2 linked regions of the Saccharomyces cerevisiae S288C genome follow. The protein of the gene in region 2 binds, or shares a complex with, the protein of the main gene of each other region. Links are inferred from orthologs where the notes say so. Each region holds a gene or a part of one and is shown on either strand. Other genes may lie near its edges.

The links.
Region 1: the proteins of GAL80 (region 2) and GAL4 are in contact, whole or in part, in a crystal structure (PDB 3E1K), measured with the Kluyveromyces lactis proteins. The link is inferred for Saccharomyces cerevisiae S288C from one-to-one orthologs. Residues at the interface, in XP_451363.1 of Kluyveromyces lactis: Trp31, Lys34, Asn182, Gly184, Trp185, Pro191, Asp309, Ala310, Gly311, Phe312, Ser316, Asn317, Val319, Tyr321, Val368, His370, Arg372, Asn373, Ser376, Val377; in XP_453627.1 of Kluyveromyces lactis: Leu847, Phe848, Asn849, Thr850, Thr851, Thr852, Met853, Val856, Tyr857, Tyr859.

Annotation. Positions count from the first base shown.
Region 1 is NC_001148.4:75,980-88,500, forward strand, and holds GAL4 (galactose-responsive transcription factor GAL4), read right to left. Parts: upstream 6,378-12,521; coding exon 3,732-6,377; downstream 1-3,731. Other genes in the region: 60S ribosomal protein eL36 RPL36B, read right to left, coding at 1-6, 245-260; GTPase-activating protein GYP5, read right to left, coding at 690-3,374; YPL247C (uncharacterized protein), read right to left, coding at 6,646-8,217; putative rhomboid protease RBD2, read right to left, coding at 8,530-9,318; YPL245W (uncharacterized protein), read left to right, coding at 9,607-10,971; UDP-galactose transporter HUT1, read right to left, coding at 11,035-12,054. UniProt on the Saccharomyces cerevisiae protein: This protein is a positive regulator for the gene expression of the galactose-induced genes such as GAL1, GAL2, GAL7, GAL10, and MEL1 which code for the enzymes used to convert galactose to glucose.
Region 2 is NC_001145.3:166,678-177,610, reverse strand, and holds GAL80 (transcription regulator GAL80), read right to left. Parts: upstream 6,018-10,933; coding exon 4,710-6,017; downstream 1-4,709. Other genes in the region: U2 snRNP complex subunit RSE1, read left to right, coding at 1-3,391; AIM32 (Aim32p), read right to left, coding at 3,537-4,472; SUR7 (Sur7p), read right to left, coding at 6,301-7,209; YML053C (uncharacterized protein), read left to right, coding at 7,857-8,495; YML054C-A (uncharacterized protein), read left to right, coding at 9,830-9,988; CYB2 (L-lactate dehydrogenase (cytochrome)), read left to right, coding at 10,303-10,933. UniProt on the Saccharomyces cerevisiae protein: This protein is a negative regulator for the gene expression of the lactose/galactose metabolic genes. It binds to GAL4 and so blocks transcriptional activation by it, in the absence of an inducing sugar.

The sequences.
Region 1 (12,521 bases), on a different chromosome or scaffold from region 2:
CGATACCTAGAGGAAAAAAATAGAATATCTTATGTTAGTAACAAGCACACTAGTACTCACGTAGTATACGAGCAAAATAAATAAACAAAGACTCCACGGAGTACTGCAACGCTGGGTGCAGGATATAAACGATGTTTGCATATCTCTGGAGCTTAATCTCATCCTGTTTGTATTTCTGTTGTTGGCTTAGTGGTTCAGTTCATTTTGCTTTTGCTCTACAGTTCATTAGTTCAGGTAAACATACCAGTCTTGACAGCCATTTTGTATTATCCTTGCTTCTCTATTCTGTTTTGACTATGGTAATACACGAACTTAAGACTTAACGCTAATTAAAACGAATATTCAAGAAATGCAATGATGTGCCTCTTCCTCTGCCTCTCTCTCTCTCTCTCTCCTAGTGCATTCATGCTAGCTTCCCTCGTCGGGCTTCCCTGAACAGCCTTGGTTGGCAACCCAATGAAAAAGTTCCGCGCACGCGGTATGTGCGTCTTTCGCAACCAGACCTCTCGGTCATGGTCGTCTCCCGCACGGTAAAGCGGAAACAAAAACCCAACACATCCGTGGATGTACGGGTGAAAATACAGTCAAAAAAAAAACAACAACAACAACATTGTCTAAACGAGTCGTGATGCATTTTTTAACACAAATTGGAGAGGCACACAATGTGCACACAGCGCAAAACTATACATCTATTTAAAAACTTTTTTAAAACCAGTCCAGCCTTTCCTCCCTTTAGCCTTAGAATCTCGTTCCAATAACGATGCCGTGGACACTTGCTCCTTATTGATGTTAATCAACTCATCGATTTCCGCTTGCAGTTCAGTGATTCTTTCCTCTAATTGGCCGTTCTCCCTCATCACCTCATTGTTCCTGGATATGGTCCTTTCCAAGTCTTCTCTCAGATCTGCCTTTGGTAGTGACGCGTCCGGGTTCGGTAAATTTTGCTTGCGAATCTCTTCCTCAATTTGGCTTTTGATATCAGTGATTGTATTTATCAGGTCGTTTTTTTCATCCAACAGCATCTCCATATTCAATCTGTTCTGAATCAGCTCGTTAGCGGCGCTGATATTCTCTTTGTTCAAAATTGAATAGTCGTGTTCTAGCTTCTGCGCCTCTCTTTGTAGTTGGTGGTTTTGAATTCTTAGTGATTCGTAGTGGTCCTCTTTTTTTTGCTCTTTTTCATGGATTTCTACGTACTCTCCCCTGTATCTTCTTAATGTTAATGGTGTGATATATACACCTGTCATTGCATCATGAACGAAAAGATCGACATTGTAGGAAAAAGTGCCGTCATCATTGCCCTTAAATGAGTTCCCATTTGACAATCCCATTTGCACTACAGAAGCGTCATCCTGGTTTCCCATTAAATAGTAATTGAAGAGTTCGTCCTTTAAAAAATCCAATAGTTCATCGAATCTCAATTTTACTAAAGTTTCTTCATTCTTTAACATTAAATTTACAGCAAACTTCAAAAGCACTTCAATACCCTCTACGAATACAATATCAAAAATTCTTAACACAAACTCTAACGGAAACTTGTATGCGAAAAATGTCAAAAACCATTGTGTAGCGTACATTGTGGAGCTAATTCCCTCACGGATCAAGCGATTGTACAAAGAAGGTGAATGCTCCTCTAATAATCTATCAAATTGATAAAGCATTAACATCAGCCCAGGCATTCCTGGTAAGAAAAGCTCTCTTAATCCATAATTCTTCATTAATCCAACGAGTAGTCCAAAAGATTCGGCCTCGTTTTCACAGTTTATTAATAGCGGCGCTGCAATGAACCCCATGCCTTGCGTGTACCCAACATCTGGATCATAAACAGAATACACCTTTATTACCTTGTATAGTGACTCCATTTTGTCCTCGGCCACAAACTTCGTTCTCCTTAAATCTCTACGTATTGTTGCTTCATGAAGACATTCGGTATCCAATAGAGTTTCATATATATCTTCCATTTCTCTTGATTTGGAATTCGCCATCAGCTGCCAAATGATACCTCGAATTTGTGGTGGTATCCCATTGGTAACATGGGCTTCTAAATTTTCTGGTTCGTTGCTTGCCACTGTAGCATAATCATTAACTACTTGAGTCCAGAAGGACCAATCAATTTTAAACATTTCTCTATCTTCTTCATTAACATTCTCCACTTCGTTATACTCGGACAAGTTCTCCAGAAATGACGTAAATGTCGATTTTAAAAAGCTTTGACCTTCCTGCAACGACTCTCTAGTTTCTTCCCCCTCTTTATTCAAATGGTGACTGGTCTTGCGGTAACGACTAGCGATCAAATTAATTTCTGCAGTGGACTCTAATTGCGCAGTTTTGGAACCAGTGAGAGGAACATGATGATAACTATTTCTTTTAGTTTCTTCGAAGTTTTTACGGAACTTCTCTGACTTCATTTCTTCCTCTAGTGGCGGTGGAACAGCATTCTTCGTCTTCGGTGGTTGTTCCCTTTGTTTGCCCCTTGGAGGTAATTTTGGTGACGTTGATGTCGCAACATTTTGTCTAGGTGGTAATGGTGGCGAAGATGTAGTGGGAATTGCGGAAACCTCGTTCTCGCTTGAGTTATCACCTTTTTCATTTATGATTTGTGTGGGTATAGGTGGTACTTTCCTAGCAGTTTCTGAGGAAAGATTCTCTGCTGTTACGGGCCCATCTTCTATAGCAGCTTTTTGTTCCTTGTTTTCATTCAAGTTTATTCCTGCGGCTACCTCATTGGTAATATGAATCTGGTTATTATCATTTTCTGACGACCTTTCTGGGGTTACTTCACTACTTATAGAAATGTCGTTCGCATTTGCAGCTGTCGTAGTACCAGATTCGTCATCGAGAAATTTACTCGAGGATGATTTCTCACCTCCAGAATTTTTTCCAGTTACTTCCCTATTTTCTGGACTACTAACAACCTCTTTCGTATCAGCGTAAACCTTCTCATTCTCTTTGACTGCATCATATTCTTTTTCAATATTCAGCCCATTTGGGGCTTGCACATCCGTTGTCACATCTTTTTCAACATCCAATGGCTCATTTAAATCAATTTCAGAACTAGGTTCTCTCGTTTCTTGCCTTTGTTCATTAACGTTTTGTTCAGTGATTTGGGTGTCTTCATCACCAGAGATCCCAATAGGTTCTTCTCTTGATACATTTGTGGGTGCTTCATGGCCTAAACTTTGTTGCTTGTCATTTAGTTCTTTGTCCGAATGGAGGGGCTCAGTTGGAATTATAGCTATCTCTTCATATTGGTCTGATGGCGTTGATTTTATCTCTTCCTCCATTGAACCCAAATTATTCGAATGATTATCACCTTCGTGAACTTCAGAGGCGATCGTATCTGTATTTTTCTCAATAGATTTGTCTGAAGACATTGCTCTATTAACGTTCTACTTTACACTGGTGGTAGGAGCTGTTTTATTTTGAGTATTAACTAATCAATCTCAATTACGTTCGATCCAAACCCTTTTTTTTCGTTATATGAGCGAAGCTTCTGAATAAGCCCTCGTAATATATTTTCATGAAGAATTTAGGTCCAAAAAAAAGATGGGCATTAATTCTAGTCATTTAAAAAATTCTATAGATCAGAGGTTACATGGCCAAGATTGAAACTTAGAGGAGTATAGTTACATAAAAGAAGGCAAAACGATGTATAAATGAAAGAAATTGAGATGGTGCACGATGCACAGTTGAAGTGAACTTGCGGGGTTTTTCAGTATCTACGATTCATTTTACTCTTTTTTTGGGTTTGGTGGGGTATCTTCATCATCGAATAGATAGTTATATACATCATCCATTGTAGTGGTATTAAACATCCCTGTAGTGATTCCAAACGCGTTATACGCAGTTTGGTCCGTCCAACCAGGTGACAGTGGTTTTGAATTATTACCATCATCAATTTTACTAGCCGTGATTTCATTATTCATGAAGTTATCATGAACGTTAGAGGAGGCAATTGGTTGTGAAAGCGCTTGAGAATTTGTTTGAGTTGTTATGAGGTTCGGACCGTTGCTACTGTTAGTGAAAGTGAAGGACAATGAGCTATCAGCAATATTCCCACTTTGATTAAAATTGGCGCCACCAAACAAAGCAGACGGGGTCAGTGGCACTAATGATTGCAGCTGTTGCTGTTGCCCTAGAAAAGGCGTGACTGAGCGATGCGAAGGTGTGCTTCTTGGTATTGTCACTGGAGAGTTACGAGAGGGTGGACGGTTAGATAACAGCTTGACTAGATCACTGAAACTTGCTCCTGATTTCAATGGCACAGGTGAAGGCCCTACTGAGCCAGGAGAAACATATTTAACACTGATATTGTTGACATTTTCCTCCGGAAGAGTAGGGTATTGGGCGATAGTTGCAGAACCGACAATATTTTTAATGGCGCTACCATTACTATTGTTATAACTGATATGCGGTAATGGGATTGCACACTGTGATAACAGAAACGGCGCACATACCTCTTCCAGTACTTGAATGTATTTTTCACAAGTCTGGATTTTAAAAGTGGCCAGTTTTTTTAATAGCATCAGAACAGTGTTAATTTGTTGTAATAATTGTGCGGTCTCGTTATTCTCAGCATTCGATTTTGAGTTTGAGAGTAGAGTCTTTATGGGTACTAGGACTGCATTGAACAAGTAATAAGAACAATTCCAGGCAAAATATGGGGTGACATTATGATTGTCCATATAGCTACTTACAGACATAACAGTTCTTTGTGCTGCATCGCTTAACATGATGGAGCATCGTTTAACTTCATAACTTTGATGATCATTTTGATCCTGTTCTAGTTGTGACTTTTTCTGGGTAAAATTAGTGAAAAAATCTCTTAATACATAAATGATAAGAGACAACTGTTTCCACTTCAGTTCGAATCTTGTAAAGGATAGCCAAGGGTGTTCCTTCAACAAATTGGTTAGAGCGGTGGTGGAAATATCCATTTGTAAAAACTTTGGTGCCTGTCTCGAAACCTCCTCAATCTCATTACAAATCATCAAGCATTTTTTTGCACATATAGGACTTTTTTCTGCAGTTACTGTTTTGTCTAGTTCATAGATTTTTGTGAAAACTTGTAAGAGCCTTGCTGTTTCAATGATGCCATGATATATGGTGGGACCTGTTGTGGTACGCTGCACATCGTCGACAGAAGAAGGGAAGGAGATTGTATTCTGAGAAAGCTGGATGGATCGACCATAAAGCAGGGACAATTGGATCTCCCAAGAGTAGACAGACCACCAAATTCGGCGTCTTTGTTCCAGAATGCTGCTATCACTGAAGGACGAGGGGAGGTCCCTATTCAAGCCCAATGATATGGCCATTCTTATGGAAAAGCTGTGAAAATTATAGCTAGTATTTGTTTTCTGCCTCCACTGTGTATATCGCGACAGAAGATGTAGGGCTGTCACCAAAATTATGGAACCTGACTCGAAGACCTTGCTCGTCAAATGAGATTTAGCATTTTGATAGTAAAAAACATCTATATCAGTAGATTCCCCCTCTATACACCAGGCTCCAATGGCTAATATGCAGTTAAAAAGGATTTGCCATTGATCCTTCGACGCGATTTCAATCTGGTTATTATACAACATCATTAGCGTCGGTGAGTGCACGATAGGGCAGTAGGGGTGAAAATTATTGAGATAACTTTGAAGTAAACGGGATGTTGTGGATCTAGAAGCCAACGTGTATCTATCCGTAATCATGGTCGGGAGCCTGTTAACGTTAGAGTTCGTGTAATTTTCCGGTTTAAAGCCAATAGATCGAAGAATACATAAGAGAGAACCGTCGCCAAAGAACCCATTATTGTTGGGGTCCGTTTTCAGGAAGGGCAAGCCATCCGACATGTCATCCTCTTCAGACCAATCAAATCCATGAAGAGCATCCCTGGGCATAAAATCCAACGGAATTGTGGAGTTATCATGATGAGCTGCCGAGTCAATCGATACAGTCAACTGTCTTTGACCTTTGTTACTACTCTCTTCCGATGATGATGTCGCACTTATTCTATGCTGTCTCAATGTTAGAGGCATATCAGTCTCCACTGAAGCCAATCTATCTGTGACGGCATCTTTATTCACATTATCTTGTACAAATAATCCTGTTAACAATGCTTTTATATCCTGTAAAGAATCCATTTTCAAAATCATGTCAAGGTCTTCTCGAGGAAAAATCAGTAGAAATAGCTGTTCCAGTCTTTCTAGCCTTGATTCCACTTCTGTCAGATGTGCCCTAGTCAGCGGAGACCTTTTGGTTTTGGGAGAGTAGCGACACTCCCAGTTGTTCTTCAGACACTTGGCGCACTTCGGTTTTTCTTTGGAGCACTTGAGCTTTTTAAGTCGGCAAATATCGCATGCTTGTTCGATAGAAGACAGTAGCTTCATCTTTCAGGAGGCTTGCTTCTCTGTCCTCTCTTAAAATGATGGCGTGCATTACGTAGACACAATCTGGAGATGAAGCTGAAAATCTGGGGAAGGATGACGGAAAAAATAGCTCATAAAACAGAAAAAGGCCCGAAGTAACAATAGGAAAAATTAATTGCACTAAACAAAGAAAACGATATTATGGTGATTAAACTGATACAGAATTATGTAAATACTTTGAAATTATAGAAGGTTTGTAGAATAAAAAAAATACTGGGCGAATGCTGTCTCAAAGGACGCGGACGTTTTGAAACTTCTTGCCGCTCACGCACCCAAACCAATCGCCCCTCTGGGGCCTCCATGCAATGTTGTTTATCTCTTGTGTTTTATTGGCATACATCATGTTAGGAGTCTCTAGTGTCTTGCACACCTGCTTGCTGTTGTTGTTTAAACTTAAGGGATCCTCGTTTAAACCGGATCCTGCGCCACCGTCTGTCATCTCTGTGTCGCCGTCAGGGTCCTCCAAGGAAGTTCCATGAATACTGGGGGATTTGCTACCTGCAGCGTTAATTTCCATAAAGGAGCTGTTCAAGTCCCAATAGAGCACCTGGCAGTCATCTCCGCACGAGAGCAAAACATTGCGCTTTGTGGGATGCCATTTAATCCCGTTTACCGAAGAACCGTGGCCTTGTAAGTTTAGTATAGGGGATTCTGGGTTCCTCATATCTAGAATAATGATTTTGTTCGAGTCAGCTGCAAAAGTGGCCAACACATTTGGGTCATACGGTGATGGCTCCAGCCTCAATAAGGCGTCCGAACCTTTCGACGACGGTGTTATAGTACCCGCAGTGGCTCCAGACACTGAGGAAGAGGGAGGCTCGTAAATAATTGTACTGTGCGCAAGCGATCTTAAATCAAATACTCGTACACTACCGTCCCCACCACAACTAGCAAATAATTGGGTCGATTTTGTCAAAAACCTTACATCAAAAACTTCGCTGTCGTGAGCGATCAATTGGGTCTTAACGTAGTGACTGCTTTGCAGATCCCATACAATGCATGTGGTGTCGATGGAACTTGAGATTATCAAGTTAGTATCGACCGTGTTCCAGTCAAATGATGTTATTGGTGGGAAAGTGCCTATGACCTTCATGTCATCTGCGGCCGCGGGATTGGCGGGGTGCTGTCTATTGTATTTACACAGAGATAGATTTATTTGTTCTTGGAACTGTCTTTCCTCAGGGCTAACGCTCCAAATCCGTAAGGAGTCAGAACACGTCGCGAGTTTCCTTGGATACAATTGAGAGGGGACCCATTGGATTTTGCTCACAGGATAAACCACATCTGCGTCCACTACGCTTTCCCAGCTCAGTAGATCATTAGAGTGCAGAACCTGCAACTTATTTCTGCTGTCCTCTTTGTACGAACCCAAGCAGACGTAGTCGTCGGCGCTCCAATCGAGCCCAAAGAGTGGATAGTGTGATTGATATTCGCACACGGAGGCCATGGAAGGGTTCATCAGATTGCTTACAACCGGAATATTTGCAGCATAGCCCCTCGCCTGCTGTAACTGAGAATGATTTGGTGAAAAAACTGGTGGCGAGAAATCTAACGGTGAATACATCGGCGATCGACTTGCATAGTACGTGGCACTTAGGTCACAGCCACTATTCCTTTTGCTGTTACCGCCATTGGTAGTGTTGCCAGACATTCCAAAGGGAGATGGGCCTCTACCTTGATCTTGTGCCGCCGAGGAAGGCCCATTAGTACCACTCAAGTAATTGTTCTTGTTATATGGCTGCCGCTGCGATGAGCCAAACGATATTGAGCTCCTTTTATTGCCATTGTGAAAGGGATCCATTTGAAGGGCGTGTATTTGCTCCTATAATTCCTTTCCTTCTTGTTGTCTGTTGACCCTTTAGGTTGTATGCCACTCTCGAAAACCTAAAGAACTGATTACTAAATTATTTATACAAGATTTCAGATGACAAGATGGTTCACCCCTTGCCCCTGGTCTTCCTCCCAGTAATTATTCATATTCCATTTTTTTTCATAAACGCACGCTAAGGAAAAAGAAGAGACTGAAAATTCTTGCATATTAGAATATAAAATGATATATACTACATTTATATACATCCTTAAACTGTGAAAGAAAGAATAGCGATACAAATGTCTAGGCAGTCCCTAGGACAGTGCCGGAGTTGTCATTGTGGAGAGGCAATGGTGTTTCTGTGGACATTAACGGTTCGTAATCTTTAGTTCTGTCGATATCCTCATCTCTGTAATACTTAATTCCCCAAGGTATTAATCGAATTAAACCGTCTAAACTTTTTTCGATTTTGGTGATGATCCATCCTGGTGGAGTGATCTTGTTAAACCACGATTCCTTGTAGCCTATGGCGTAACCGACACATAAGCCGAAAAAATGACCCCAGAAACTGGAGCCAGGTATAACGACGGCAATTGCGACTAATAGTACTAGGGGTGTATATAATGTCGGAATTGAGTAGTCTGTGCGAAAGATCCTTGTTCTAGGGCGGATCTGTGATTCTTTAAAACTATAGTATGCGAATAAGGTGAAACACCACCCACTGGCGCCTGCAACTAATGCTTCTGGATATAGCAACTTACCCAACAAACAGTACAGAATTCCGGCAAATAGAGCACTCAGGTTCAAAAAAACACCTGTGTACACAGTCCCATGCGTTTCTTCGAAGAGATTCAAGGGTGCCCAGATGGCTAGCACATTGAACAGTAAATGAGGCAATGATAGGTGAATTAAAGGATAAAGCGATAGCCTGCTCATTTGCAGTTTGAACAATGACTCTGGCGCCAACGACAGGTCTTCCCTTAGGGCAAAAATAAAACTTAACAGGTAAATAGCGGTTAGAAATACCACAAGGCCTGTGGTCAACGCAGCTGGTGGATGACCACCGGGAAAAACGTACGACTTCCAATTCATAGCACGACCAAATAGCACAACCTAACAACCAGAGTGAATTGCTGTTCTCAGTGCTTCCAATTAAGCCTTTCCCATCCCCCTATTCTTCTTGTATCGATGCAGTTCAAAAAAAAAAAAAAAAAGAGGCTTTAGATCTCAAAGGGCCGAAAAAAGTGAAAAATTTTCTCGAGAAATCATAAAAGCAGCCATCGCCATATATAAACAATCTATGCATATGTATGCAGCATGGCATCGCATCTTTCTTGGCGACCCGGTAGTAGCATTTAACTTCCATTAGAACCATATAAAATGCATGGGCCTACTTCAAAAGCTATTTCCCGCAATGTGAGAAGCGTGAAGAGACCAAGAAGAGCACCTAGGCCCGTGGTCTCCACGCAGGCTATGAACAAGTTGTCTAACGTAACACTCTCTGCTGAACAAGAAAAGTTGAGAGAGCGCGTTTTGTCGTTCATGCGTTCCAACTTATCTCAGTACAAGTCTGACTGGAAACATCCGGCCATGTTTGTAATCCAAGGGGACGCAGGTACAGGCAAGTCTGTGATTCTAAACTCCTTGTTCAATGAAATTCAGAAACTATCCCAGTTCTCACCTTCTTCTGAAGATATCTTACATGGGACACATAATTATCTGGTAGTCAACCATCCCGAGATGTTAAAGTTATATATCCGGATTAGTGACAGTTTCAAATATATTTCTAAATCGTCACTAGAACGGCCCACTTCGTTGATCAACAATCTACAGAAGAGAAAAGTCATGGCCGATGTAGTCATTGTAGATGAAGCACATTTGTTGGCCACTTCTAAGGATGCTTTCAAAAGATTTTATGGCGAAAACCATCTCAAAGACTTAATGTCCCTTTGTAAAGTGCTTGTATTGGTTTACGATGATAAGCAAGCTTTAAGAATGGGTTCCTATTGGGATGAAGGTTCTAATAACGGTGCCACTTTAAAGGACTTTTACAACGAGATTCCACCAAAATCCAGAGACTGGTACACTTTAAAACAGCAGTTTAGGGTTGCTGCCCCACAAAACGTGTTGAACTGGATTGACCAAATTAGTGTCGCAGGTAAAATCCCACCAATTGAATCTGTGCTATCTAAGGGCAATGCAGATTGTGCTGACGATAAAATTAAGAATTTTGATTTCAAAATTTGGGATGATTGTGGCGCCATGTACGAGGCAATCAAGGAGAAAGACCGTCAATACGGCCAATGTAGGATGCTATCTACTTACGATTTTCCCTATCGCTTGGACGGAAAAGACTATTACGTTGAATGTGGTGACAATTTCAAAGTTCGCTGGGATCGCTATACTCCACGTGAAGTGACGCCTTGGAGTGAGCGTTGCGACACGATTGATGAGGTAGGTAGTGTGTATACTATCCAAGGGTTTGATCTGAATTATGCTGGTGTAATTTTGGGCCGTTCCATTGGGTATGATGCGGCTAATGACTGCATCAAACTAAGACCAGAGCTGTATGACGATAGGGCCGGTTTCACCAAAAAGAAAAACATTCACAATGCAGAGGACGTTAAGCAAAAGATTATTATGAATAGCATTAATGTCCTCTTAACTCGTGGCGTGCGTGGTCTGTATGTTTATGCATACGATCCTGAATTAAGAGAGAGACTGCTTCGTCCATCAAAAAAATAGGAAGTACATAGTATAGACAAATTTTATAAATATTAACTTTTATTTGTTGCGATCTTCACTAATCTACGCAGATTTTGCCTTCGGTATATTAGCCTTCTTCTTGTTGAGTGCTTCCCAAGTGATTCCACCAAATACTATAAACATCCCCACCCATTGCTGGAAACGTACACTCTTACCGAAGACAATAATACTCAAAATCATCGAGACCATTTTCCTGGTGACTGTTATCATGATCAAAACTAAAGAGCCAAATTGTTCTAGAGTATAGAAAATAAAGCATTGTCCCATAGCGCCACAGAACGAATAAAGCATTAAATAGCCCCACACTTGTGGGTCCATCGTCAATACAGAAACGGCATTATCCCATTGTTTGCAGTCGATCACAATAAAATACAAAATATTCCACAATATCACGAAGAGGTTCAGTGTAAACATCAAGTGTGCACCTGTTATCAAAGTTTGTTTTCCCTTTTCTTTGGCCTTATTGGCCTTTAGTAGCTTATCTTGGGTGGCGTTGGTCAATCCATCAAGGAATAAACTAGAGAAAAGTAGTCCAAACCCTTGTAATTTGTTATCATTTCCGCTCTCATTAAAGGATCTCTTCAACTTTTTACCATCGTTGCCACCTATAGTGAAAATAGTGACACCGAGACTTACCAAGAGAGCTACAACTTTTTTTTGGCTTGCTATGGGCGTCCTATACAAAAGCAAATGCACCAACAACACGGGGATCATCTTGCATGACTTTGCTAACATGTAAGTGAGATAATCCACGTGCTTTAAAGAAGTTGTAGCCAGCGGGCCTGAACTACTCTGTGTAAATGATATCAACATCAATTGTTTCCAATGATCTTTAATCATTTTTCTGGGCGGATATTCCACCTTCTTCCAGTTTAAGTACAGGTAGCCCATCATCATTGCCACAGAAGCTTGTATGAGGGATATTACATTAGGGAATTGAAACTTTCCCATGGAGTTTGGCCAGGTTCTTGTAGCCAAAGGCTCCTGTACTAATGCCCACGTCAAAAAAGTAGCATATATACCAATCGCACAGATCACCAAACTGGATGTACTTCCCGCCATACAAATATACGAATACTGCCTTGTTTACTTCTTCTTGTTACGTTGTAATTCTGGTTCTAATTACATTGCTGTCATTTTTTCATGTTCGATGGGATCTACAAAACAACCTTTAGAAGCGATCTCAGGGAAGCTTTGGAAGAGAAACAGCTGATGATTCTGGCATTCCACAAACTACAACAACGAACCAAACGACATATTCCATTGCAGTGATTTGATTGGGAGTAAGCTTTTATAAACGAGCAGACCAATATGATTTACGTAGTATTTCGTTGTCTTTACCACATCGTTGTTCGTGATAAGTTCTGAAAATTTTTTTTGGAGTATATTTGCTAGAGTTAATCCAACAATATTAGCATAAACGAGCAGCTGGAGACTAGGTTATTTGAATTATTTGAGCATCAAAGTGATCAATTGTATTATATTACAGTGTAATTTTCTTTTTTTCCATATTGAATCAAAAACTAGCC
Region 2 (10,933 bases):
ACCCCATATGGTAACGCTGGATATGGCAGTTGTTGATGTAAATTTCAATAATCCATGTTTTGTTACCTTAGAAATCGACAATGCCGCTACTCAACTATCAGTACACTTGATATTTTATGTCCTCGAGTTGGGTTTGAATCACATCGTCAAGAAGGCAGATTATTTAGTTAACCCATCTGCCAATTTCGTACTGAGTTTGCCAGATCTATCGCGATATAATATAACAACTTCGCTAAGCGACAACAACTATGATGCTGACTATGATACCCTTTTCAACCCTTTTGTTGTCATAGGCTTCGAAAATCATATTCTGGTAAAGGATATGAACGGATTTTTCAGCCTGAAAGTGGAAATACCCAAAAGATCTATCACAAATAGCCGTCATAAAAATGTAACAATCATATCAGGCATAGTGCAGAAATTGAAAAATGATTTTTTCGTACTTTTACAATCTAACCATGGCGATCTTTTTAAGTTAACTGTAAGTCCAGACACTAATGATAGAAATAGACCTTTAGTTCAATTGTCCTACTTTGATACAATCCAAAATTCACACCAATTACACATTTTCAAAAACGGTTATCTTTTTGCACTATCTGAAATGAATAACAACTTTCTTTTCCAGTTTGAGAAACTTGGTGTAGAGAAAAATGATTTTTCTAATGTTTTAACCTCAAAAGATCCAAATAAGTCGCTAGTTTTCGAACCATCCATAAAGTTGCAGAATTTGAGCATATTATCGCAACAATTGAATTTGAACCCTTCAATAAAATCTCAAATTGTCAGTGATTCGCCACTGTCTATCGCCACTAAACATTTTACAAACAACAAGATAATAACTTTAACAAATGCTGTGAATTACTCTAATTTGATATCTACTAGTTTACCCCCGAACGCAACCAAGTTATGGCTAATACCCGATCCTGCAACAACCGGCGATAACAATACTCTTTTGTTCATAACTTTTCCCAAGAAAACTATGATACTACAAATTGACAACGAGTCCATGGAGGAACTAACACCGGATGAAGCAACGCGTTCAGCTTTCAAGCTCTCTCAGGACACAACAATTCATACATGCCTAATGGGCTCACACTCTATTATCCAAGTATGCACCGCAGAACTAAGACATATCGTACCGACTGGTAAATCTAGGTATTCTAATAAGCTGACTTGGGTGCCACCAGCGGGAATTCGTATTGTATGTGCCACGTCCTCGAAAACACAACTAATTATATCATTATCAAATTACGAATTGGTTTATTTCAAGATAGATGTATCTTCGGATTCGTTAATCGAATTAACCACCCACCCAGAATTGGACACAATGCCCTCTAAAGTTGCGATTGTGCAAGATACGCAGCATGCTGATTTATTAGCCATTGCTGACAATGAGGGTATGATCAAAATAATGTCTCTTAAAGACCAAAAGGAAGATTTTTTAACTGTAATAAGTTTGCAATTAGTTAGTGAAAAGATTTCTGACATGATAATGGTTAGAGATTCCTCAATAGGACAGCTTAATTTGCATGTAGGTTTAGAAAATGGCGTTTACATGAAATTTCATATAGGGGATGTTGACGGATCGTTCACTGACATAAAAAGGCGATTCCTTGGCTTGAAGCCTGTTTCCCTTTCGTATTTGCGTGAGATATCTGTATCACTAAATAATGAGGAAGAAGAAGAAGAAGAAGAAGACGATGATGATGAAAAAGAAGAAGAAGAAATAAATAGTAGTGGAGCTAAATGGATGTCATGCGTGGTTTGCCATTCCTCTTCTACATGGGTAAGCTACACGTGGAAAAATGTGTGGACCATACGGCAGTTAAAGGATCAAAACATGCTAAGTTGTTCCAAATTTGTTAACGCAGATGTTGCAATCAACGGTGTTTGTTCAATATCGAGCTCAGGACGCTTAAATATTGGCAGAGTTTCCAACTTTCCAACTTTGGATAACTGGTTTCACGTTCATGAATCAAGTGTTAACAAGCAAGAGAACGGTGGAGGAGATGAAAGCAATGAAGAGGAAGAAGATGAAATGGAAGAAGAAATGGAAATGTTACAAATATCTACATTCCGACCTCGTACTATTTTATCATTTCCCAATAATCCGAAAAGCATTTTGTTTATTGATAATCACAGTGGTAAGAAACAATGCCGTATATCACTGCAAATTGATGGTGAATGCTTAAAGTTTGGCAGTTCGGATCATTTATACAAGATACTGGACGATATCGATTGCGTTTCCGCTGCTATAATAGATTTCACAAGACAAGCTGATCATTTGATCATTTGTGCTGGCGACAAAAGGCTGTTAACATACAAGATATTAGTTAACAAAGATAAACTATCTTTTGATATTGAATTACTTCACCAAACAGAAATCATTTCACCAATACATGCTATGTTGAAGTTTAAAAACTTCTTGCTGACAGCCATGGGCTCCACTATTGTCCTTTATGGTTTGGGGAAAAAGCAATTATTAAGAAGGTCCGTAACACAGACCCCGGTATCCATAACAAAAATTGTGTCTATGCACCAGTGGAATTATGAAAGACTGGCCGTTGGTGATATACATGAATCTGTCACTTTATTTATCTGGGATCCTGCGGGGAATGTATTTATTCCGTACGTAGATGACTCTGTAAAACGCCATGTGACGGTATTGAAATTTCTAGATGAGGCAACTGTTATAGGCGCTGATAGATATGGAAATGCGTGGACTTTAAGGTCTCCACCAGAGTGCGAAAAAATCATGTCAAATCATGATCCCAGCGAATTATCTAATGGGGCCATCAAGTACCCACTAGACGTCATCACTTTACAGCAGAAATTACCCAATACTTATGATTGCAAGTTCAAGTTTCAACTACTGAACCACTTCTTTGTTAATGATATCATCACTGATTTCCATATCCTGGACAGCCTTTCAAATTCTGATAGACCTGGTTGTATCTATATGGGCTTACAAGGAACCGTGGGATGCTTTATCCCCTTATTATCCAAGGGGAATGTTTTTATGATGGGAAACATTGAGAATATAATGGCTGAGGCGGATGATACGTTTTATTTAGATTATGAATCAAGAAAGAAGAATAACAATATGCGTAAGGAAGACGATGAAGAGGAATCTGGAAGTGTTGTGTTACAAGGACGGCATGGTATAGAGGATGAAATAATATGTGAGGGTTCCTGTTCCATTTTAGGTAGAGACCACCAAGAATACAGAAGCTATTATGCCCCTGTACGTAAAGTTATTGATGGTGATTTATGTGAAAATTTCCTGAGACTTTCCTTGAATGAGCAGGAATTTTTGGCCAAAAATTTAAAGAGTGTACAAGTGGAGGATATAATTCAAACAATCAACGAAGTCAGAACAAATTACATGTAATGATTTTACAGTAATAATACCAAGTATAAAGGCGTGTTAATGTATTTTCTTAATAAATATATGTACAAGGAATATATGATAGCTTTAAATATAAGAAATATAAAATTTCACCTCATCTTTATTTCTGTTTTAAAAGGAAACCGTTTTAATTCATCGATATGCCACCTCTGTACATTTCGTCGATGATTTTACCGTTTTCCAAGTTTTCACATAACAGCTTCAAGTTGTGTGGGTAAACTTTACCAAACCATAATGAATCCAGCTTGTTTTGCATCTTTTCTCTGCCGAATAGTTTATAGAAAATGACATTACCAGCAAAAATATGACCCCCAATATGAGAAATTAAGGCTAGATTATTCTCAGGAAAAAGCTTTTCATCTTGAAATGCTGCAATTATGTCGGGTCCCATTTCTCCACACTTAGCATCTCTCTTATAATGCCCACAGACTAAGTTCCAATCTCTTAGAAAAGTTTCACCCTGAAACCTTGTAAGCTTTCTATGATGCACTTCATGAACCTGTTGGGAAGCCTTGGCCTTACCGCTTAAATAATCCTGGAAGGATAGCTTTGGTGCTTGAATAGCTCCTTCATCTAAAAAAGATGCAAATTCCTCGATGTCCGTTTCCTTAATTACATAAAGCTTCATGTCAGGAATAACAAAAAAATAAAGCCATTCATCGTGTTGTTTTGGCCTTGGAATAAATTCATTTTGCAAATGCACCGCATTTATTAGTATTCCTGGAGAACCACCTAAATGGGAGCGCAATTTACTAATGGCATTATATGGCCGATTTGTATTAGTATCCAAATTATGATTCCATGCTACCTTCCATGGTTGAGCAAACCTATCACCCGGTGATAACAGCAAAACATGCTTATTGTAATTGGGCGTTCTATGAGGAAGCTTGATATGAGGATCTAATGGATCAGTTTTTGAAGGCAGCCTTGCGTTTATTTCTTGGCAATAACAGTTTGTTTGATCATTTTGAGCACGGGTATGAAGATCAGGAACGCTAATATGTTTGAAGCTATGATGGAAGGATGCCCGCTGCTGCAAAGTTTTGACAGTTATACGTAGCATTTTATTTTTTGTGTCAGTGCACCTTCTCTCACTTTTCTACTAAGGAAATTTGATATTTCAAATGTAGTATGCTAATAAATAAGAACACCCGCATGCACGAAAAAGGGAAATTTAAAACTAGTTAGGTAAACAAAGTTCAGAACAAGAAATGATATGGTTGTTTTACATAGATATATACTCAGTATTCGTTTTTATAACGTTCGCTGCACTGGGGGCCAAGCACAGGGCAAGATGCTTTTATAAACTATAATGCGAGATATTGCTAACGTTTAATGTGGAGCCCATCATGTTACTTTTATAAACGCTCTCGATTAACCTGTGTAATATCAGAGCATCCATCAAGGTGGGAAAGCCTTCGAAATCGAAACCTTGCATTACAAATTGTGAGGGTAATTCAGGAATTTTCTTTGTATTGAAGTGGAAGTCAGAGATAGATTGATACAGTCGATGAATATTACCCACAATGGCATTATAATTTCGTAAATGATATACTTCCATGATTTCTTTACCTGCATCATACCCCGGGTCTAAAGGAGCTTGTTGTCCATTGGCTAGCGGGAAGTCGTTTGCTCTAGTTCCACTGTAGTAAAGGACCAGATTTGAAATTTCTGCGAAGCCGGCATCGCCTTCAAGTTTCAAATCTCCCTTGGTACCGTGAATGTCAATGACCAAATTTTTGGTAAATTTTTTGGTAGGTTTGCCACCTTTGAAACTGCATGACACTGGAACATTGCCATTTAACAATGTGCCTTGGAATAAAAGATGATCCGGTACTGTCTTTGGGACTCGCTGGCCCAATCGGTTACCACGCTCATCTATCAGCTCTTGCTCTGGAATATTATTGAAAACCATTGCATTTATCCTGGAAAAGTACGAACTTGTCATGTATTGTAAAATATCGATTGTGTGACCAAATGTTGTGGTTACCAGATCTACACCGTTCCCGATTTCATAGATGTATTTTGGTGATTTAACAGGCCTTTCGTAGCCGTACCAACCGCCATTTCCAGCAATCTCGATCGAATTAATGTCGCCGATATAGCCTTGAGATATTAATTCTTTTGCTCTCAAAATATATGGTGATTTACGACCTTGTAAAGAGATGATGGTTTGAACCCCACGTTCAGCAGCAGCCTTATAAATGGATTCGGCTTGATCTAGTGAACATGCAAGGGCCCATTCTACGAAAAGATACTTGAGGTTCGGATTATTTTTGGAGAATTCCAAGAGAGGCATAACAACTTCATAATGGCTGGCCACTTGGATAGCTATCACTATCATATCTATAGTGGAAGATGATGCAAATGACTCTAAAGTGGGAAAAGCAGTGGCATTACTCAATTTTAGACGCTGAATGGTGGCAATAGAAGTCTCAATTTTTGGACTGTATAAGGCAGTGATTTGAAATTGTGACGATAGTTGCAGTATGGCGGGGTAATGTGTCTTGATTGCCCATCCTTTGGCTGCGTTGAGACCGACGAATCCGACTCTTATGGGAGCTGCATTAGGCACGGTTGAGACCGAAGATCTCTTGTTGTAGTCCATGACGGGAGTGGAAAGAACGGGAAACCAACTATCGAGATTGTATACGCTGGTCGGCAAGGACCAGCAGTGATATGTGATGTATATATATTCAGGTTCAAAAAAAAAAGTTATGAGCTTTTGGTTATTATGAATGTAGCAGACATTTTGAGGTCGTTCGGGCGAGAGTGCGCCGGTAAATGAAGAAAATATAGGATATTATTAATATTAGAATTAAACTATTATATTGCAGGGGAGAGAAGAAAGGGGTATAAATATATATTACAAAGCGGAAAACTTGCGCCATTTAAACAGAGACATCGTCCGGGCGCTCGTGTGATTTTCTTATAGTGAAGAAGTTAATACCTTTAGGTTGGTTTTCCGTAGCAGCAGTGGCAGTGACCGGATTAGCATTGGAAGAAGGCCCCACTATGCTTGCACTTTGTTGCATGTCTTCAGGTCCAGTGGCAGTCAATATTGGGTCAGTTGCTTGCTCCTTCTCTCTATGGAAGGGATTCCATCTGGAGGAGGTTCTGTATCTTGAATTGTCGATGGAGTAAGTAGAGGCCAACCTTGCCCTAACAGACCAGAAGACCAGCAGGATAAATTCCACGATACATAAAAAGACACTTGCCCAAGCCATACCCATCATAGAGGCACCCAATTGGGCACTACGATGATCGTCATGGAAAGCATTCTTTGCCATGGCAGAGGCGGCCGTTTGCAAGACAACGGCTGCCGTATTGAAGACAAACCCAAAAGACATGAGGATAAGCACCATCTCTGAAAGCATCTTCGAGCACCAAGTCAAAACGTAAAGGATAAACGACACACCTACAAAGGCAAGCGCAATCCAAAAGAAACAAAATGAAAATCTAGTCAGGTAGTAAAAAGCGTCTCTTTTGGAAATAAACTGGTGAGGGACATTGATGTGTGTGTTGAAGTTATCTACTGGGGAAATGGGGTATGCAGGTGCCAAATTGCTTGTGCAGGTATCCGACCCGTCTTTATCCTGTAGACAGGCGCCCCAAAACGTCCAACGTGTTTCATCCCCAGCATTAGGTATGCCTGTTGTATTGCCCTGCACCCAATAGAATCTGTTCACGGGGTAATGGTCCGTGGCACCAGATATAATCATCAAAATTAACAGCAAGGTATTACCTGCTAAAAACAGCAACACTACCAGACGTAGTACTATATTCCAGACCTTAACCATAGTATTGTGCGGATATGCGTTACTATACTTAGTCTCTTCAATATCTACGGGAGTCAAGAGGTATTAATAAATCTTCTTGCGTGGGTGTTGCTTGTTTGTTTGCTGTTTAAGTATCGAGGAGATGTTGAAAAATGTATCGGGGGCCTCGAGGCGACACCTGCTAATGTTTACAATTTTCCCGATTGGGGTGCTAGAGGCATACAGTGGGCTACATGGCACAGCACGGCAGTGCAGAGTGAGAAAATATGACTTCACGCTCGAGGCGAGGCCACGCTTTCGAAGCTTCGAATGCCACTACCTAGACCATTGCTGTTTTGTACCTTCACGGTCCCATTAGAGACATTTTACTTAATGCAAGATTGCCATATCCGTTGTCATGGTACCAAACAGGGTAATAATTTCTAGAAATCATGATACACGTATGACATCTGGGTAACCTAATCCATCTGGGTAACCGATTTTTCTCTCCCTTTGCTTTCTCTTTACCACTCAGCTGACTTTATTATTTTTTTTATATTTTTCATTTTGACAAAATTATATAGTTAGGAAGAATACAATAGGACTGCGACAGAAACAGATAAGGGCTCTTTTTTCTTGGGGTTGGCTGCTTTTATTCATTAATTTAAGACTCAAGTGTGCTGCGTGAAATGCTCTCATACTATGAACACAATACTGCGTTCCAAACAAACAATTGCAATTCCGGTAGCAATGCCGCCACTACATACAACAGCGACGCCAATAATGATACGATCATGAATAAAAGAAAAAATGACCATTTCGAGTTTGATACACACACTTTCTACCAAAGATCGAAGAGAACAAAACGAGATTCTGTAAGTACAAAGTTTTCGGTCGGTTCCGGGTGTGCTAATCTTAATAACAACAACAACAACATCATCATCAACAACAACAACAACAACAATAATAATAATAATAACCATAATCATAATAACAGCAATAATACTGCAACCTACAATAATATTCATTATAAAAAAAATATCGAAATATGTCCCCTGAAACCGGTTAGTATGCACCACACTATGAACAGCCGCTTACTGAACGAATCTGAATTTTATTCTGAAACAGAAGAGTACATGATTCATGGTTATTTCGGTAACACTAATCGCGACATAACAGGCACGAGTCCTACTGGAAGTGCTAGTATTATACAACACCAGTATCATCTTCTACCATCCCAAAGTATAATTGCATCACAAGCACCCGGTACTGCCATGGCCGCGTTGACTAACAACAATATCGCTAACGATTACATGGATATAGATTAATAAGAAAAAAAATAACTGCAGGAAATGAAAATGAAAATGAAATGGAAAAAAAAAAAAGAAAATTTAACCTATTTAAAATAATACAATGTATTACATATTTATCACGACTGTTTACGTATCTCTACTCAATTTACTTTAAAGGCTAAGTGCTCATTCTGGCTACCTTACATCTATCTATAAAACGTTCAAAACTCAAACCTCACTAGGCCTGGAGAAAAAGGGAAAAAAAATATCTCCCGGGGGCGAGTCGAACGCCCGATCTCAAGATTTCGTAGTGGTAAATTACAGTCTTGCGCCTTAAACCAACTTGGCTACCGAGAGTGACTATTTTGATTTACTTCAAAATAAAGTGTCAGTACTACCCTTATTATATGAATGTTGTCGTAACCTCTCGGATTATATGTAGACAATGTTATGGATATATAGAATATAAGTGTTGGAATAAAAATCAACTATCATCTACTAACTAGTATTTACGTTACTAGTATATTATCATATACGGTGTTAGAAGATGACGCAAATGATGAGAAATAGTCATCTAAATTAGTGGAAGCTGAAACGCAAGGATTGATAATGTAATAGGATCAATGAATATTAACATATAAAATGATGATAATAATATTTATAGAATTGTGTAGAATTGCAGATTCCCTTTTATGGATTCCTAAATCCTCGAGGAGAACTTCTAGTACATTCTACATACCTAATATTATTGCCTTATTAAAAATGGAATCCCAACGATTATCTCAAAATTCACCCATTCTTCAATAAGAATTTACGAAATAAATCCGGTAACCATAAATCCACAGAGCCTCTTATATTCACTCTGTTCCTCCATCGCCTATTGAGAAACGTTGGAATAAAACTCTAAAAATATCATCTAGTTAGTTAGTTTTTATTTTACCAGTACATTGTCACTTGCGGAGGGAGGATGACATAAAGATTGAGACGCAGTCATTTAATGAAGTTTAAACGCGGGTACTTGATAAAGTAATACGATATTGAATCATGACGTATAAAGTGAAATGAACGAATGATTACGTAAAAATGTCGATTTTCTCTTGAGAGACTCCCATAGCCTCTAAGAGGCCTTCTACTACGTTCCATATATCTAAGAATGGGGCCATATCCAGTGGAATCCCAGCAATTATTTGAGAATCACCATTTCTCAGCCGATATTTTAGCAGAATTACTACCAATATCAGGGGGCAATAGTTGATCGCCTACTTTAACAAAAAATGTTGCTCACGTATTAACACAGGCAACAAAAAGGATATTACGCAAGAACGTAGTATCCACATGCCATCCTCCTTGTTGCATCTTTTTTTTCCGAAATGATTCCCTTTCCTGCACAACACGAGATCTTTCACGCATACATCGGAAGGATCACCCCCCACTCAAGTCGTTGCATTGCTAACATGTGGCATTCTGCCCATTTTTTTCACGAAAATTCTCTCTCTATAATGAAGACCCTTGTGCCCTGGACTCTGTAATACTTGAAACTACTTCCTCAATAATCGCTTGGAGACCTACCCCCACGCTTTTCAAACAAGGCGCTAGCAAAAAGCCTGCCGATATCTCCTTGCCCCCTCCTCCTGTTCGAGAGAACTACGACCCGACCAATAATAATGTCATACAAGAACCGCCAAGAACCAACTGCTGAACCTTAGATCTCCAATACTTTCAGTTGGAGTATGTGAATATATAAGTACCTGGTCGACTAATCTTCTTGCATCTTTTCGTATTCTTACATCCTATGTCGCTAATACAGTTCCCGCATAGAGAAGAAAGCAAACAAAAGTAGTCAATGCTAAAATACAAACCTTTACTAAAAATCTCGAAGAACTGTGAGGCTGCTATCCTCAGAGCGTCTAAGACTAGATTGAACACAATCCGCGCGTACGGTTCTACCGTTCCAAAATCCAAGTCGTTCGAACAAGACTCAAGAAAACGCACACAGTCATGGACTGCCTTGAGAGTCGGTGCAATTCTAGCCGCTACTAGTTCCGTGGCGTATCTAAACTGGCATAATGGCCAAATAGACAACGAGCCGAAACTGGATATGAATAAACAAAAGATTTCGCCCGCTGAAGTTGCCAAGCATAACAAGCCCGATGATTGTTGGGTTGTGATCAATGGTTACGTATACGACTTAACGCGATTCCTACCAAATCATCCAGGTGGGCAGGATGTTATCAAGTTTAACGCCGGGAAAGATGTCACTGCTATTTTTGAACCACTACATGCTCCTAATGTCATCGATAAGTATATAGCTCCCGAGAAAAAATTGGGTCCCCTTCAAGGATCCATGCCTCCTGAACTTGTCTGTCCTCCTTATGCTCCTGGTGAAACTAAGGAAGATATCGCTAGAAAAGAACAACTAAAATCGCTGCTACCTCCTCTAGATAATATTATTAACCTTTACGACTTTGAATACT